Rattus norvegicus: one gene and its partners. The protein of the gene in region 3 interacts with the protein of the main gene of each other region in a biochemical or structural test. Links are inferred from orthologs where the notes say so. Each region holds a gene or a part of one and is shown on either strand. Other genes may lie near its edges. The genes, in order: Rnf14, Rnf25, Ube2e3 and Uba1.

What was found.
Region 1: the proteins of Ube2e3 (region 3) and Rnf14 form a complex in vitro, tested with the Homo sapiens proteins (2 studies listed by BioGRID). The link is inferred for Rattus norvegicus from reciprocal best matches to the Homo sapiens genes UBE2E3 and RNF14.
Region 2: the proteins of Ube2e3 (region 3) and Rnf25 form a complex in vitro, tested with the Homo sapiens proteins (2 studies listed by BioGRID, with this or other methods). The link is inferred for Rattus norvegicus from reciprocal best matches to the Homo sapiens genes UBE2E3 and RNF25.
Region 4: of the proteins of Ube2e3 (region 3) and Uba1, one has a biochemical effect on the other in vitro, tested with the Homo sapiens proteins (3 studies listed by BioGRID, with this or other methods). The link is inferred for Rattus norvegicus from reciprocal best matches to the Homo sapiens genes UBE2E3 and UBA1.

The regions. Positions count from the first base shown.
Region 1 is NC_086036.1:30,400,438-30,404,148, forward strand, and holds part of Rnf14 (E3 ubiquitin-protein ligase RNF14), read left to right. Parts: intron 1-1,248; coding exon 1,249-1,379; intron 1,380-3,711. UniProt on the Homo sapiens protein: E3 ubiquitin-protein ligase that plays a key role in the RNF14-RNF25 translation quality control pathway, a pathway that takes place when a ribosome has stalled during translation, and which promotes ubiquitination and degradation of translation factors on stalled ribosomes.
Region 2 is NC_086027.1:83,618,436-83,621,046, reverse strand, and holds the end of Rnf25 (E3 ubiquitin-protein ligase RNF25), read left to right. Parts: intron 1-131; coding exon 132-224; intron 225-945; coding exon 946-1,080; intron 1,081-1,244; coding exon 1,245-1,823; 3' UTR 1,824-1,899; downstream 1,900-2,611. UniProt on the Homo sapiens protein: E3 ubiquitin-protein ligase that plays a key role in the RNF14-RNF25 translation quality control pathway, a pathway that takes place when a ribosome has stalled during translation, and which promotes ubiquitination and degradation of translation factors on stalled ribosomes.
Region 3 is NC_086021.1:84,246,053-84,248,749, reverse strand, and holds part of Ube2e3 (ubiquitin-conjugating enzyme E2 E3), read right to left. Parts: intron 612-2,697; coding exon 464-611; intron 1-463. UniProt on the Homo sapiens protein: Accepts ubiquitin from the E1 complex and catalyzes its covalent attachment to other proteins. In vitro catalyzes 'Lys-11'- and 'Lys-48'-, as well as 'Lys-63'-linked polyubiquitination.
Region 4 is NC_086039.1:4,077,816-4,082,482, reverse strand, and holds the start of Uba1 (ubiquitin-like modifier-activating enzyme 1), read left to right. Parts: upstream 1-1,793; 5' UTR 1,794-1,968; intron 1,969-4,667. UniProt on the Homo sapiens protein: Catalyzes the first step in ubiquitin conjugation to mark cellular proteins for degradation through the ubiquitin-proteasome system.

The DNA of each region.
Region 1 (3,711 bases), on a different chromosome or scaffold from region 3:
ACCTCTCAATGGGGAGTAAATTCCCAGGTTGAGGTTTGAAAGGGACAAACTCATTAGTAAGAGCATACAGAGATACAGTTAACTCTTAATGTCTGTGGTTTTAAAGATTGCTTATTTTTTTTCTGTGCGTATGATTGTTTGCCCATGTTTGTCTGAGTACCCTGTGCATGCCTGGTTCCTGCAGAGGCCAGAAGGCAACTTTGGATTTTCTGGAACTGGAGTTACAAATGGTTGTGAGCCCCCATGTGGGTGGTGAGAATTAAACCTGGGTCCCCTGGAAGAGCAGGGAGTGCTCTTATTCAAGGAGCCATCTCTCCAGCCCCAATTGGTATTTGTAAAACAGTCTGATCTGGGGCTGGGGACACACCTCAGTTGGTAGAGTGCTGGCCTGGAGGTCAGGAAGCCCTGGGTTTGGTCTCCAGTACAACAAACTAGACATACATGACAAAAGTCAAATAGTCCCCTTCACTCTTTGTAGAATGGATACCAAGAGTCCTTGATTTGGGAGGTGGGGGCAGGAAAATCAGAGGTTTAAAGTCACCTGTAGCTGTGTAGCAAGTTCAAGGCCAACATAGATTCATGAGATTTTAAAATCTGTAAAACATGGCCTTCCATTTGGTTTTATTTTTCTCATCGTGTACATTGTTTTTACTGAAACTGATGGTAATTCGTAATTCCTTAGAGCGTCATTAAGGAGAGCTGTGTCATGTTTGTCACTTCTGACATGCTTGAGCCCCGTGGTAGTATAAAATATGCCTCTGCTTATGCCACTAGTTTTGATTGGTGTAGAAATTTAGAACTCAGGCCCAGCCTGTAGTCCCAGCCATTTGGGAAGCTGAAGCAAGAGGATTGCCAGTGAACAACTTAGACCCAGTCTTAAAAGTGAATAGTAGAAAAGGAAAGGGATATAGCTTATGGTAGAATGCTTGCCTGGCATGTGTCTATCTCTGGTGCTGAAAATAAAGTAACGTTTTAATTAATCTGCTTATGTGTTCCTCTCCTATGTGTCACTTGTGTCTATTTACAAGAGAGATTTTGCCAAGTATGTAGTTATAGGAAGACCTGCTCGATATTTCTGTATTTTACCTGCAATGCAAAGTTGTAAGCGTAAGTGGCTGTCACTGTTGCCTGTGCAGCAGTCCTCCTTGAGAAAGGACAAAAAACCAGGGGAAGTGCACTGTGTGTTTTCCGGCACATGTATTCTGCTTTTACCACCATGATACTGTTCTTGTCTCTCCTTCCCACCAGAAATTAGACGGCTGCAACAAGATGACCTGTACTGGCTGTATGCAGTATTTCTGCTGGGTTTGCATGGGCTCTCTCTCAAGAGCAAACCCTTACAAACATTTCACTGATCCTGATTCTCCATGCTTTAACAGGTTTGTACACATAGGGTTCCTTAAGACTTAGCAGGTAAAAAAACTCAGGTGTGCCTGCATGAGGACATGTATATGCACAGGTGTACCCTGGATAGGCAGAGACCCAAGAGGGTTTCTGTCAGAGTTGAAGCTAGAAGTACAGATTGTTTGCAGGATGCCTGTTTTGTCACATGAGAACTGGGATCCGAACTCCTGTCCTCATGAATGAACAGCATTCTTGACCACTGAACCATCTTCCTAGCCCATCCGGAATGTTTTGATGCCAGTATGCAGGCTGGTTTATTTTCTGAATACCAGTTTTTTTTTTTTTTTTTCTAAAGTAGCTAGACTTGGAGAACTTTTTTCCCACATGTGATTTTTAAGTCTTCTTGAAAATGGGTAAAATTTTATTTTTTACTTTTTATCCTCACCTTAAAAAAAATTATACTTAGCTGGGCAGTAGTGGACACTCCTTTAATCCCAGTACTTGGAAAGGCCAAAGCAGGCAGATTGCTGAATTCAAGGCTAACCGGGTCTATAGAGTGAGTTCCAAGACAGCCAGGCTGTAAAGAGGAACCTTGCCTGGGAGGGTGGAGGGGATATGTTTATGGGTGTTTTGCTTGCATGTGCGTCTTATATTACATGTATGCCTGGTGCTCACAGAGTATGGAAAAGCATGTTGTGTCCCTTGGTACTGAAGTTAAAGATAGTTGTGAAGCCACTATTTACGTAGTGCTAGGAATCAAACCCAGGACTTCTGGAAGAGTAGCTGTGCTCTTAACAGTTGTACCATCTCTCCACCCCTACACCTACCCGTCATTTTTAATGACAAAGCATATGTGATATAGGCTGGTCTAGGATTTTAAAACTGTTTTAAATTATTTGTGTGGGAGGGTTTGGGTGTTGGCGTGTTGGTGTTGGTGCACGTGTGAGGTCAGGACAGCTTTCAGTACTTGTTACCTGCTTCTGCCACCTTCCCCTGGGAATCTAACTCAGGGCAGGCACCTCTGTCTGATGGGCCCTGGGGCTCGCCCTGGCTTGGAAGTCTCAGTACTCCTTTTTTTGTTTGTTTGTTTTTTGTTTGCTTGTTTTTCAAGACAAGGTTTCTCAGTGTAGCCTCATGTGTCCTGAAACTTATTCCGTAGTCCAGGCTAGCCTCGAACTCAGAGATCTGCCTGCCTTTACTCCACACTGAGCTTAGTTCTCCTTTTATGGTAAAAGTTTTCTAGCGTGTAGAAAGGTTGAGAGACTATAGCTGTGACTGGTGTGAGTAAACAGTGAACAGTACACTGACTTACTCTCTCTACTGTCTCAGAGAGGCATTGCTAAACTGCTTGAGGGTGAATTATGGCAATGCTTCCACTCTGTTACTTCATTATATATCCTAAATTTAGAAAATGCCTGTAAGACTGAGGGTGTAGTTCAATGCTTAGCATGTGTAGGAGCTTTGAGTTTAATCCCCTTCCCACACCCAGCTCCCCAAAACCAGAATGTTTCTATGCAATGATAGTACTTTAAAAGTGAATGGTGGCCAGGCATGGTGGTGCCCACCTTTAATTGTAACTTTCAGGAGGCAGAAACAGGAGGAGGATCTCTGAGTTTGAAGCTGGCCTGGTCTACATAGTGAGTTCCAGGACAGCCAGTGCGTCATAGAGAGACCTTTTCTCTTTTCTTTTTTCTTTTTTCTTTTTTTTTTTTTTTTTTCGGAGCTGGGGACCGAACCCAGGGCCTTCCGCTTGCTAGGCAAGCGCTCTACCACTGAGCTAAATCCCCAACCAGAGAGACCTTTTCTCAAAATAAATAACTAAGTGTGATATATACTATCTTGTTTTGATATATATCAAAACATATTTAAGACTTCCATTCATCGGGATAGCAAGATGGCTCAGCAGGTAAAGGCACTTGCTGCTCATGATCTGATGACCTGAGTTAGAGCCCTAGAACCAATATGAAGGTAGTTTAAATATCCTCTGACCTCTACATGTGCACCTCCAACTGCACAGCACATACTAATCTTAAAAACAACACACCTTCCTCTTAGCATTCAGAATATCTATTACCGTCAGTTAAGGAGCCAGGATCTAGTCAGCTTCAGTCTGGTTGTTTTTCTTTTTCTTTTTTCTCTTTTTTCTTTTTTTAAATCATTTCTTTACTTTATGTATAGGAGTACACTGTAGCTGTCTTCAGACACACCAGAAGAGGGCATCAGATCCCATTACAGATGGTTGTGAGCCACCATGTGGTTTCTGGGATTTGAACTCAGGACCTCTGGAAGAGCAGTCAGTGCTCTTAACCACTGGGCCGTCTCTCCAGTCCCTGTTTTTCTTAATATAATGTTTGGACTACTTACTTG
Region 2 (2,611 bases), on a different chromosome or scaffold from region 3:
AGACCTCTCCCTAGGCAGCCCTTTTCTCCTCTGTTCTACCTCATTGCTAAGCAGCTAACGCTTATGCCCTTTGGTCCCAGCCCTCGGGCTGGCTGACAGGGAGCAGGATGTGATTTCTCCTCTTGTTTTAGAAGGCAGTCGGTGTGCAGTGTCCTGTGTGCAGGGAGCCCCTTGTGTATGATCTTGCCTCGCTGAAAGCAGCCCCTGAACCCCAACAACCCATGGTAAGGGTTTTCCTTCTGCTCTAAGCCAGGCATTCTCTAAGGAGAGAGAAGTGGCATCTTGTCTCTGCTGAATTCTCTGTGGAGTTGGGTTTGACTTGCTTAAGAGTACTCTGCAAAGCCACAGCCCCCACCAGGAGTCTAAGGCTTCAGAAGCCCAACTCTGAGGAACAAAACCAAGAACTGAGTATTGGGAATATGGCTCATTTGGAAGTGCACTTACCTAGCACACAGAAAGCCTTAGGTTTGATCCCCAGCAGTGCACTAAAAAACCTGGTATATGGTGGTGTACTCACAATCATGGCACTCAGGACGGATAAACAGTTCAAGGTCATGCTTGGCCATACAGTGAGTTTGAGACCATTCTGAGCTATATGAACCTCTTGTCTAAAACAAAACAAAAAACCAGGAACCTGGGCTGGAGAGATGGCTCAGCGGTTAAGAGCACCTGACTGCTCTTCCAGAGGTCCTGGGTTCAATTCCCAGCAACCACATGGTGGCTCACAACCATCTGTAAAGAGATCTGATGCCCTCTTCTGGTGTGTCTGAAGACAGCTACAGTGTACTTATATATAATAAATGAATAAATCTTTAAAAAAAAAAAAAAAACAGGAACCTTGTGCAGCTCCCTAGGACAATCCTAGAAGAGTTAGGGTTCAAGTCATCTGTCTGCTTTCTCATTTTGTTTCTTTTCCTCCTGCCCTTTTGCTTCCTTTCCTGTAAGGAGTTATACCAACCCAGTGCAGAGAGCTTGCGCCAACAGGAAGAACTCAAACGGCTGTATCAGAGGCAACAGGAAAAGGGTGGCATCATTGACCTGGAGGCTGAACGGAACCGATACTTCATTAGCCTTCAGCAGGTGAGGAAAGGCTCCCCCTTGGCCTCAGATGTCTCCAGAGTTCTTAGGAATGCCATGGCCCTAGGGTGTGCTTTCTTCTGCTAGCAAGGTTGTGGTTGATGATGGTTGCTGATAGTGGAGAGGGGTCCCCCTTGATGCATCACCTCTGCCTCTCTTCTCTCCAGCCTCCTGCTGCTCTTGAACCTGAGTCAGTAGTAGATGTCTCAAGAGGACCCCAACCACCTAATACCCTTTCTGCAGAACAATCTACTTCCCTAGCTGCCCAATCAACTCTGCCAACTCCTTTACCCATGGCTACCCAGTATGTTTATGAGAAGACTTCGGGGGCTGGGCCAAATCAACAGAGGCTGGGTGAGACCCAGAAATCCATGCTAGATCCTCCACGACCTGGTCGTGGCTCCTGGCGACAGTATGATCGGAGGCACCCAAAAGGCGGGGAGTGCTGCGCCCCAAAAGGTACCAGTGAAATCCAAGAACTGCCACCTCCTGAGAAGCCTCTCAAGGAGACTGTGGACTTAAAGGCAGAACCCCGTAACAAAGGCCTCACAGGTCATCCTCAGGAGAAGGGACCTGGTAGCTGGCAGGGCCCCTCAGCTCGCAGGACTCGGGACTGTGCTCGCTGGGAACGCTCCAAAAACCGTACACCTGGTTCTTCCTATCCCCATCTACCTCGGGGCCAGGGAGCATACCGGTCTGGTACTCGCAGGGAGCCCCTGGGCTTGGAATCTGAGGAAGGTTCCTAGCAGTACTGTTGGGGGACAGGGAACTGGGGTGGGAGGGAGGCAATAAAGAGATTTGACCTTTGCTTAACAGCAGCTAGCTTATGTGGTATGACTCTTTATGATAGGGGCTCCCACCTTTCTTGTAAGGCTGTCCACCAGAGACACTAGGGTAAAAGGGTCTTCCCTGCCAGTGTGGTCAGGTTTGAAAAGACATTTGTGCAGAATACTTAAGAAGTAACACAGCAAATAATTCCATCCATTCCCACATTTGCACACATGCATTGTTCAGCTGACTGGCTGGTGGTTTTGAGATAAGGTACCATGTAGCCCAGACTAGCCTCAAGCTTTATATAGTTGAAGAACTCCAGATCTTTCTGTCTCTATCTCCTGAGTGGTAGGATTCCAGGCCATTGCCATCATGGCCAGTTTGTGCACACCAGGCAAGCATTCTACCAGCTGAGCTCCATCCCAAGTACTTCTGTTGTTTTAAGGGGAAAGTCTCACTGTGGTGTTAGGTTGGTCTTAGGATTTTTTTTTTTTTTTTTTTTTTTTTTTTGGTTCTTTTTTTTCGGAGCTGGGGACCGAACCCAGGGCCTTGTGCTTCCTAGGTAAGCGCTCTACCACTGAGCTAAATCCTCAGCCCCAGGATTTTTTTTTTAAAGAATTATTTATTTTATGTATAGGAGTATGCCATCACTGTCTTCAGACACACCAGAAGAGGGCATCAGATCCCATTCCAGATGGCTGTGAGCCACCATGTGGTTGCTGGGAATTGAACTCAGGACCTCTGGAAGAGCAGTCAGTGCTTC
Region 3 (2,697 bases):
TAAACATAAGCTGACTAAAAAGTTACCTGTCATTTCACTTTAAATAGAATTTTGAAGTAAAAGTTGAATCTGAGGTTAAATGTTTATGTATGTACATATGGCACAGAAAGTGTGCCAAACAAAGCCAATACAGACACAGTAAAAGGTTTCCCTTCTGGACGCCAAAAATTCAGGATCCAAGCCCTGGCACACAACTGTTAACCCTGGTTTTCAGATAATGTATGTATGTCTTATATTTACAACTTAACATTACTACAGTGTGTATACATCCTTACAGATCCCCGTATCTTGACATACTATTGACAACTGTCTCCCTGTGAGTTCTGAGTTGTCTCATTCTTTAATACCTAGTCTCTTAGTGGACACTGCTTATTTCTGAGGCTGATCTTCCTAATGATAAAATTTATGTCTTGACCAACATTAAACAAACATTTTATTTGTAGATTCATAAAGATTTGCTTACCAGGGTTGCAATCTGTCAAAAGGGAACAAATAGAGAGCAAAACCTTTGAAATAGTCAAAGCGGGACTCCAGTTGTCTTTCAGAATATCCAGGCAGATGACTCCCTGACTGTTGATGTTGCAGTGGTAGATTCTGGTGCGGAAGGTAACCTACACAGCACAGCACAAACAGGAAGCAAACAAGTCTATCACCAGTTCATCCCAACAGCAACACATTACAGATGATACCAACAGCAAATTACTAACCAGCACTATTCTTACATTGGATCAGACAACAGCTAGTTTTCTTTAAGACTATTTTTAAAATATTTTAAAAGTTAAATAGTTTTATTTTAGTTAAAAGTATTGATTTTTGGTTTTATTTTGACTTAGAAAACTATTTTTAGCTCATTTATTTTTGTTATTGTAATTTTGTTTTTGACACAGGTCTCTAGGTATGTAGGTCTGGCTGGCATGAACTTGCTGTGCACACTGCCTTGGTTTCAAACTTACGGCAATCCTCCTGCCTCTGTTTTCTGAGTACTGGGACTATTGGCATGCACTACATACGATACCAGGTATTACCATGGCTTAAGAAAAAAGTGAATAGGTGAATAATGAATACCTAAAGAATGGTATTATGCATTTACACATGTACCATATACCATATACATATTTGTGGACATACATGAACATGGAAAGTGGAGAATATTTTGGCATCAAAGGTAAGAAGAAAGTATGAATGATTCTAGTAAAAGTAAGGAGTATCACCAACTCAGCCAAGCCTCTTTCTACATCAGAATAAAATGAAAGACTGGGAACAAGGCTGCAGTCACCATCCGTGCTACCTTCCTTCCTCTTAGTCACTCTCCTACAGACACTGACATAGAAAAGCAAAGTTTTCAGTTATGGGTCAAAGAAACTGGCATCTCTTTTTCAGGAATAAATACTTGTATGTTTCTAAGCAAATGCAAAAAGTAGTTGAGAAATAAATTCATCACTTGGACTTGTTGAAAAAAAGAATTTTCTGATCTTAGAATTTGCAATGTACTGTGAGCTTCAAAGAAGAATCTGGGAACAGGAAAAAATATCCAAAAGTGCTTTTTTGGGGGGTGGGGGCAAAAGAAAAGCAGGAAAAAAGGAGGAACACATTAACGAACTACCTAACATGGCTTAAAAGGGGCTACAGAGCAGTCATATGTGAATACAGAGATCTGAAATATACCATGTTTCAAAGACTCAGTACTAAAAAAGCCATAAAAGAACTTAATAATATTCTTATGAATATTACTTCCAGCATGTTGAAATGGTAATACTCTAGATATATAGGGTTAAATATACATTTAAAATTAATTCAGTTGCTTATTTATTCAATGTGGCTATGGAAACTTAAAATTATACATGTACTTTGTGCTTCCAATAGACAAGGTTGTTCAAGAAAAATGGAATACTTGTTTGTCCAAATGACTGAGCTGACTACATCAAAGACAGGAATTAATTTCAAATAAAACCAATATACTGAAATCTCCTAGTTATCAATAGTAAATAAACAAATTAATATCCAATAACAAAATGTTTGTTTCTCTTTAGGAAGTTCAACAGCTTAAGTGAACTCAAACACTATAGACCAGGCAGAAGTGGCACACAGATCTCTGTGAGTTCGAGGCCAGCCTGGTCTTTTCCAGGACAGCCAGAGCTACACAGAAAAACTCTTGTCTCAAAAAACAAAAACATATATTTGAGAGAAGGAGAGGAGAAAGTGAAAGAAATAAGTCTTATTACCAAAATATCACAAATTTTATTTATATTTTATTTTGGAATAGGGTTTAAGAATGGAAAAATCTGCCTTAACAAGGAGAGAAGCAACATTACAAAGTTATAAATGTAACACACTGGAACTTCTAAATAAACTTCTAAATCTATAAATAGCCACATACTAATAAAAATGGCACGCCATATACAGGATTATAGTTCAAAGCCCTTCTACTAAACAATTTCCACTTCCACTAATAGTGCTAAGGAAATGTAAGTATCTTTTAAATTACATTATTTCTTCCTCACATACAAGAATTATATCATACAACTATATCTTGTTAACTTTTCCCCTATTTTCTAAAGTATTAAAACCAATTTCCAATATGAAAAACTATGCATGTGGAATTTTTACTATTTATAAAAATAGATATGAGGTTTACTAAACATTTATTATACAGAAAACAACAAAAGAATAAAACTTGAGCAGTTGGTAATAAGCTGA
Region 4 (4,667 bases), on a different chromosome or scaffold from region 3:
CCCTCTTTCTCTTTTTTCCTTTTCCCTCTTCTCTCTGTTCTTTCTTCCCGCTCTGTGTGTGTCTACTTCTGTCTCTTTCTCTAGGGTCTGTTTTCCCTCAGACTTGCCAGGTACTAGTGCTCCTTTTGCATCAGCCTGCCAAGTACTGTGGGATTACAGGAGCTGTGCTAGCGCACACCAACAAACCCCGTCTTTTAAGAAAATAGTGCTGCTACCGCTCAGGCTAATTATACAGTACTATGTGCCAGGCACTATTTCTAAACCCTTTCTACACATTTACTCAATCACAAGGTAAGTTCTTGTTCTCAAATCTCATTTTCTGATCTGGAAACAATCAAGTTGATAAGTTCTGTAATAGCTGGATATACCCTCAAACTTAAGTAATTTTAGATTAATGCAAATATTACCTTTAGTTGCATATATTTGAACATTGTAACAGGGCCTTGTGGCAGCACTGCTCTAGGGCCCTTCTGTATTCATTCTCATAACACATTTCATCAGTCTTGGTTGGGTTTTTTTGAGGTGGGGATTGCTGTGGTTTTTTTGTTTGTTTGTTTTTTATGATACTATGGATTGAACCGAGGGTGTTGAAGTGCTTTATCCGTAGTCTACACCTCCAACCGAGGTGGATTAGTTTCATTACTATCATTGCCTTCAAAGGCATGTAGTGAGTCTGTATTTAGCTAAGACAAGATAAGCCCCCAAGTGGTCAAGGACTGTGCTCACTCTGGCTTTGCAGGGTTATCCTTTATATCCTTATGACAAATGCCTTGACTATTGTCTCATAATTTCCGCTTGTTGGGTAGGGCCACCTTGGATGGGAAGCTGCCCATCAAGCCTCATGAATAATTCATGAACTGGATGGGATTGGTACTTTTTTTTTTTTGAGACAGGGTTTCCTGTTAACCTCAAACTAATGAGCCTTCTGCCTCCACTTTCCCAGTGCTGAGAGAAAAGTCCTGTGGCACCATGCATGTAAGCACAGCCTGTGCACTACCTTTCTTTTTGTGTCCCCACCCACCTCCACCACCTCGAGACTGGGTAGCTCTGGTTGTCCTGGAACTCCCTCTGTAGACCAGACAGGCCCCAAACTCAGAGATCCTCCTGCTTCTGCCCTGACTGCTGGGATTAAAGGTGTATACCACCACACCCAGTAGGTATAACCTTTCTTGACCTCTCTGTTTTCACATTGAGCTGGCTCCAGCAGCTTCCTTTAGTATTTAGGAGGCAGAGGAGTGCTTTTTTTTCCTGCAGTGACCCTGTTTCTTGCTTACTGGGTATTAGATGGAGCAATAAGGCAGGCTTGCTTCTTTTGTTCTATCCCACTGAGTCTCGTGCATTATTCATGAATAAGATGTAGCTTTGGTCTCCTTGATTCCCGCAGCTGCAAGATCATTCATTATTCATGAGCATTGGGTGTGGTTGGCATGCTTTAACATCTTCTTTCTGGTTGCCTAGTCTTAGTAAACCCATCACCTTGCTTCATAATTCACGATTAGGAAGAATGGCTTTGAGGTCCTTCCTTGATTTCTTTGACAGCTTAGCTGTAGTAATTCTTTATTCCTATTTCATGGGGCATGGCCTCATGCTCTACCTGTTTTTCTAGTTACTGCCTCCACAGCCACTTGGTGGAGCTGTTTTCCTTCTAGTTAAAGAAGTCCCAACCTGGGCAGGGAAAATACATGATTCATGAGTGGGCGCGGTCCTCTTGCATCCGGGTTTCTGGGGGTGGGGCTCAGGGTTTTGTTCCGGCCTTGGGCTCTGCCGCCGCCATCTTGTGTCGGCTGCTGGGGTGAAGGAGGGTGTCAAGGAAGACCACAACCACCGCGGTCGGGGGAGGAGAAGGCGACAGTGATCCTAGCTGGCCCAGGCGGCAGGGAGGAGAAGGAGAAAGAGGAGGGTGGCGGCCGAGCTTGACTTCGGCTCCTTGAGGAGTTGGCGGCGGCACGACCCGGGGAACCGGCATTGGTAATAGCTTTTCTCTGCACCTGGCTCGAAGCGCAAGGGCTCAGGGAGGTATGGGAGGGTCCCTGCTGGTTCTTTGCCAGCCCGATGTCTGAGTGCACTGCGGTGACCTGGGTATTAGGAATCACTAGACAAGTGGGTGTGGGGGTGTGCAAATCCTGGGGCGGGATGGATCATTTTTGTCTAGGACCACCCTATTCCCTTGGGCTCCGAAATCTGACCTTGACATCATACCCTTATCTCTGCTTCTGGAGGCTTCGGGTGTAGCACTATAACAAGATATCTTGATCCAATCCTGAGCCATGCATTTCCTATCAGAACTCCGAGCACAGTCTCCCATAAAGGCACCGGAATTCGGCGTCGCTGCTCAGGAAAGCCGTCCATACTTGTGTGCTATTTGAAGACCTGCCCCGAAATCTCCCTTGAGACTCTTCCTAGCCCTTCAGTATTTGCCCTCATGGCTTAAGAGGGGCCAGACTTCAGGAAAGGTCCGTGTGGCCTTCATCTCCGAAAGAAGAGCCTTGCCTAGCATTTTCATCCAGAGTTTCCCCCTCCCCCTCTCAGGATACTATCTGTCCTTAGAGCTGCCATCTGGATTAAACCCGGTGAAAAGCTCTGTGCCTGGCCTTTCCGCGGGAAACCCATTCCTACATTTGAGATATCCGAATACCACTTTGACATAGCATCCTCCAACATGGACGCCTGGCATTCTTAGACTCTTTTCAGCATCTACCTTTAGAGACTCTCCCTGCTTTTAGGGACTCCCCCCTTTTTCATGCTCTCATTGTTCTCAAAGCATCGTCTTCTCCATCAGCCATTCTTAACCTCCAGTATATTTCCTTTCTTCTCTCAGGGGACTAGACACGGGGGAGGACCTGTTTGGACATAGTTCTCCATTAGTGATCTCTTGCCACCATCTACTCTTTCAGACTCTTTATTTGTAGCCCCATCTGCCAGATGGTCTCATCCTAGACCCAAATTTTGCCTTCAAAGGCAGACCAGCATTCTAGTTTCTCTTTTTATAAATCCCTTAATCTACCAACAGGCCTCAGAATCTACCCTCATTCTTTTTAAAGGTTCCTAGTATTCAGAGACTCTTAGCATTTGCTTTTGACTTCACTCCCCTTCTCCCCAGCAGGCCCATTTATCTTCCACAGGAGTAGAAAACCTCAGTATCTATTTACTATGGAGTCACAGAATTGATTAGAGAAACCTAACTCTATTTGGAGATCTAGCCAATATTTGCTTGGTAACCTATTATCATCATTATTACAGAGTTTCACTGCCTCTGTCTGCCTCACTAGTGCTGGACTCAAAGGTGTATACCACCATGATTAGCTCTTTGTAACCTTTTTAAGGCTTGAACTGTCTGAAATTCATCTTCCCTTCACCCTATCAGCAGCTGTGGTACCTGTTTAGATCCACACAAGGCCTTTGTTGCTCCATTAGAAATCCCTCTCCAAGAGTCTGCCCTCAGAGACCTCTCTTAGCCTCTTAGCACTTAATCTCGTAGCTTCTTGTCACTACAGTGTCAACATCAAAGTCATTTTTCTGTGCATTCCCACTACTTTTGGTTGAAGGGTTTCTGTCACTAGAATCTAAGCCTGTCAGCCCCAGAATCTTCCTGTAGTAGTCTCAGGGTCTACATTCTCTCACCTCTTTCTAGAAATCCAGGTTTGAGTCTTTAATACCTCTGTCCAACACCCCCACCATTTATAAGGCGTCTTTTATTATCTCCTTCACAGCTCTTTGAGCTCAGTCACTTCCTCTGATGCCTTTCTTACACTCCTCAAGACTTCTCATTTAAAATCTCTCAGGAAGCTTGACAAGCCTCAGCATCTTCCCCTGTACAATATCTGTCAGCTGGCTCTGCTTCCTAAGCCTACCCAGATTCCCCTGCTCAGTCTTGCTCTAGAATATTCTCAGGCTTCAGTCATCAGTTTGGAGACCCCAGATAAGTTTGAAATGCTTTAATTTCAGCTTTGCCAAGTAGGTTTTAGAAAATAAATTCTAACAAAGAAGGCTGAGCACATGTTGAGAGAGAATGAATGGAGATTGGTTTTATTTTGTTTTTTATTGTTGGGGTTTTTTTGTATTTTGCTTTTTGGTTTTATTTTTGGATGGGAGTAGGGGAATCTCTAGCTCTTGTCCCAGAATCTCTGTCCCAAATTCTTCTGCTTGCCTTGATAAAGGGGCTTTCCAAAACCTGACATTTGAAATCTCCCTTCCTATATTCTTTTTTGAAATAGAGTCTCACTGCATAATTCAGACTGGCCTCAGACTTAAGAGTCTTCCTGGCTCTGCCTCCTAAGTGTTGTGGTTGTGGGCTTGTACTGCCACACCTGGCTTTGAAGTCTACTTTTGAACAGTGATCCCAAACCTGCTTACTTAGAGCCTTGCTGCCAGCACTGGGTGGGGGTGGAAAGGTTAAGGTCTGATAAAGAGCTCTCTGCTCTGGATTTTGTCTGATGTGGGGAGTAGAGAAAGAATATGCCTGGAACAAACCACCCAATGACAAGGGAAAGGAGATAACTAAGTAATGGAGGCCCTTGTGGGTGCCTTGGGAGGAGCCTCTCTCCTCAGGTCCTTGAATTTTGACCACAGATAGCCTCTTTAGCTTCATCAGGAGGACAGTTCCTTATCTCTCCATTTTTTTGGAGAAAATGGGCTTAGAGGAAATAAGATCTGCATGCCAAGTCACT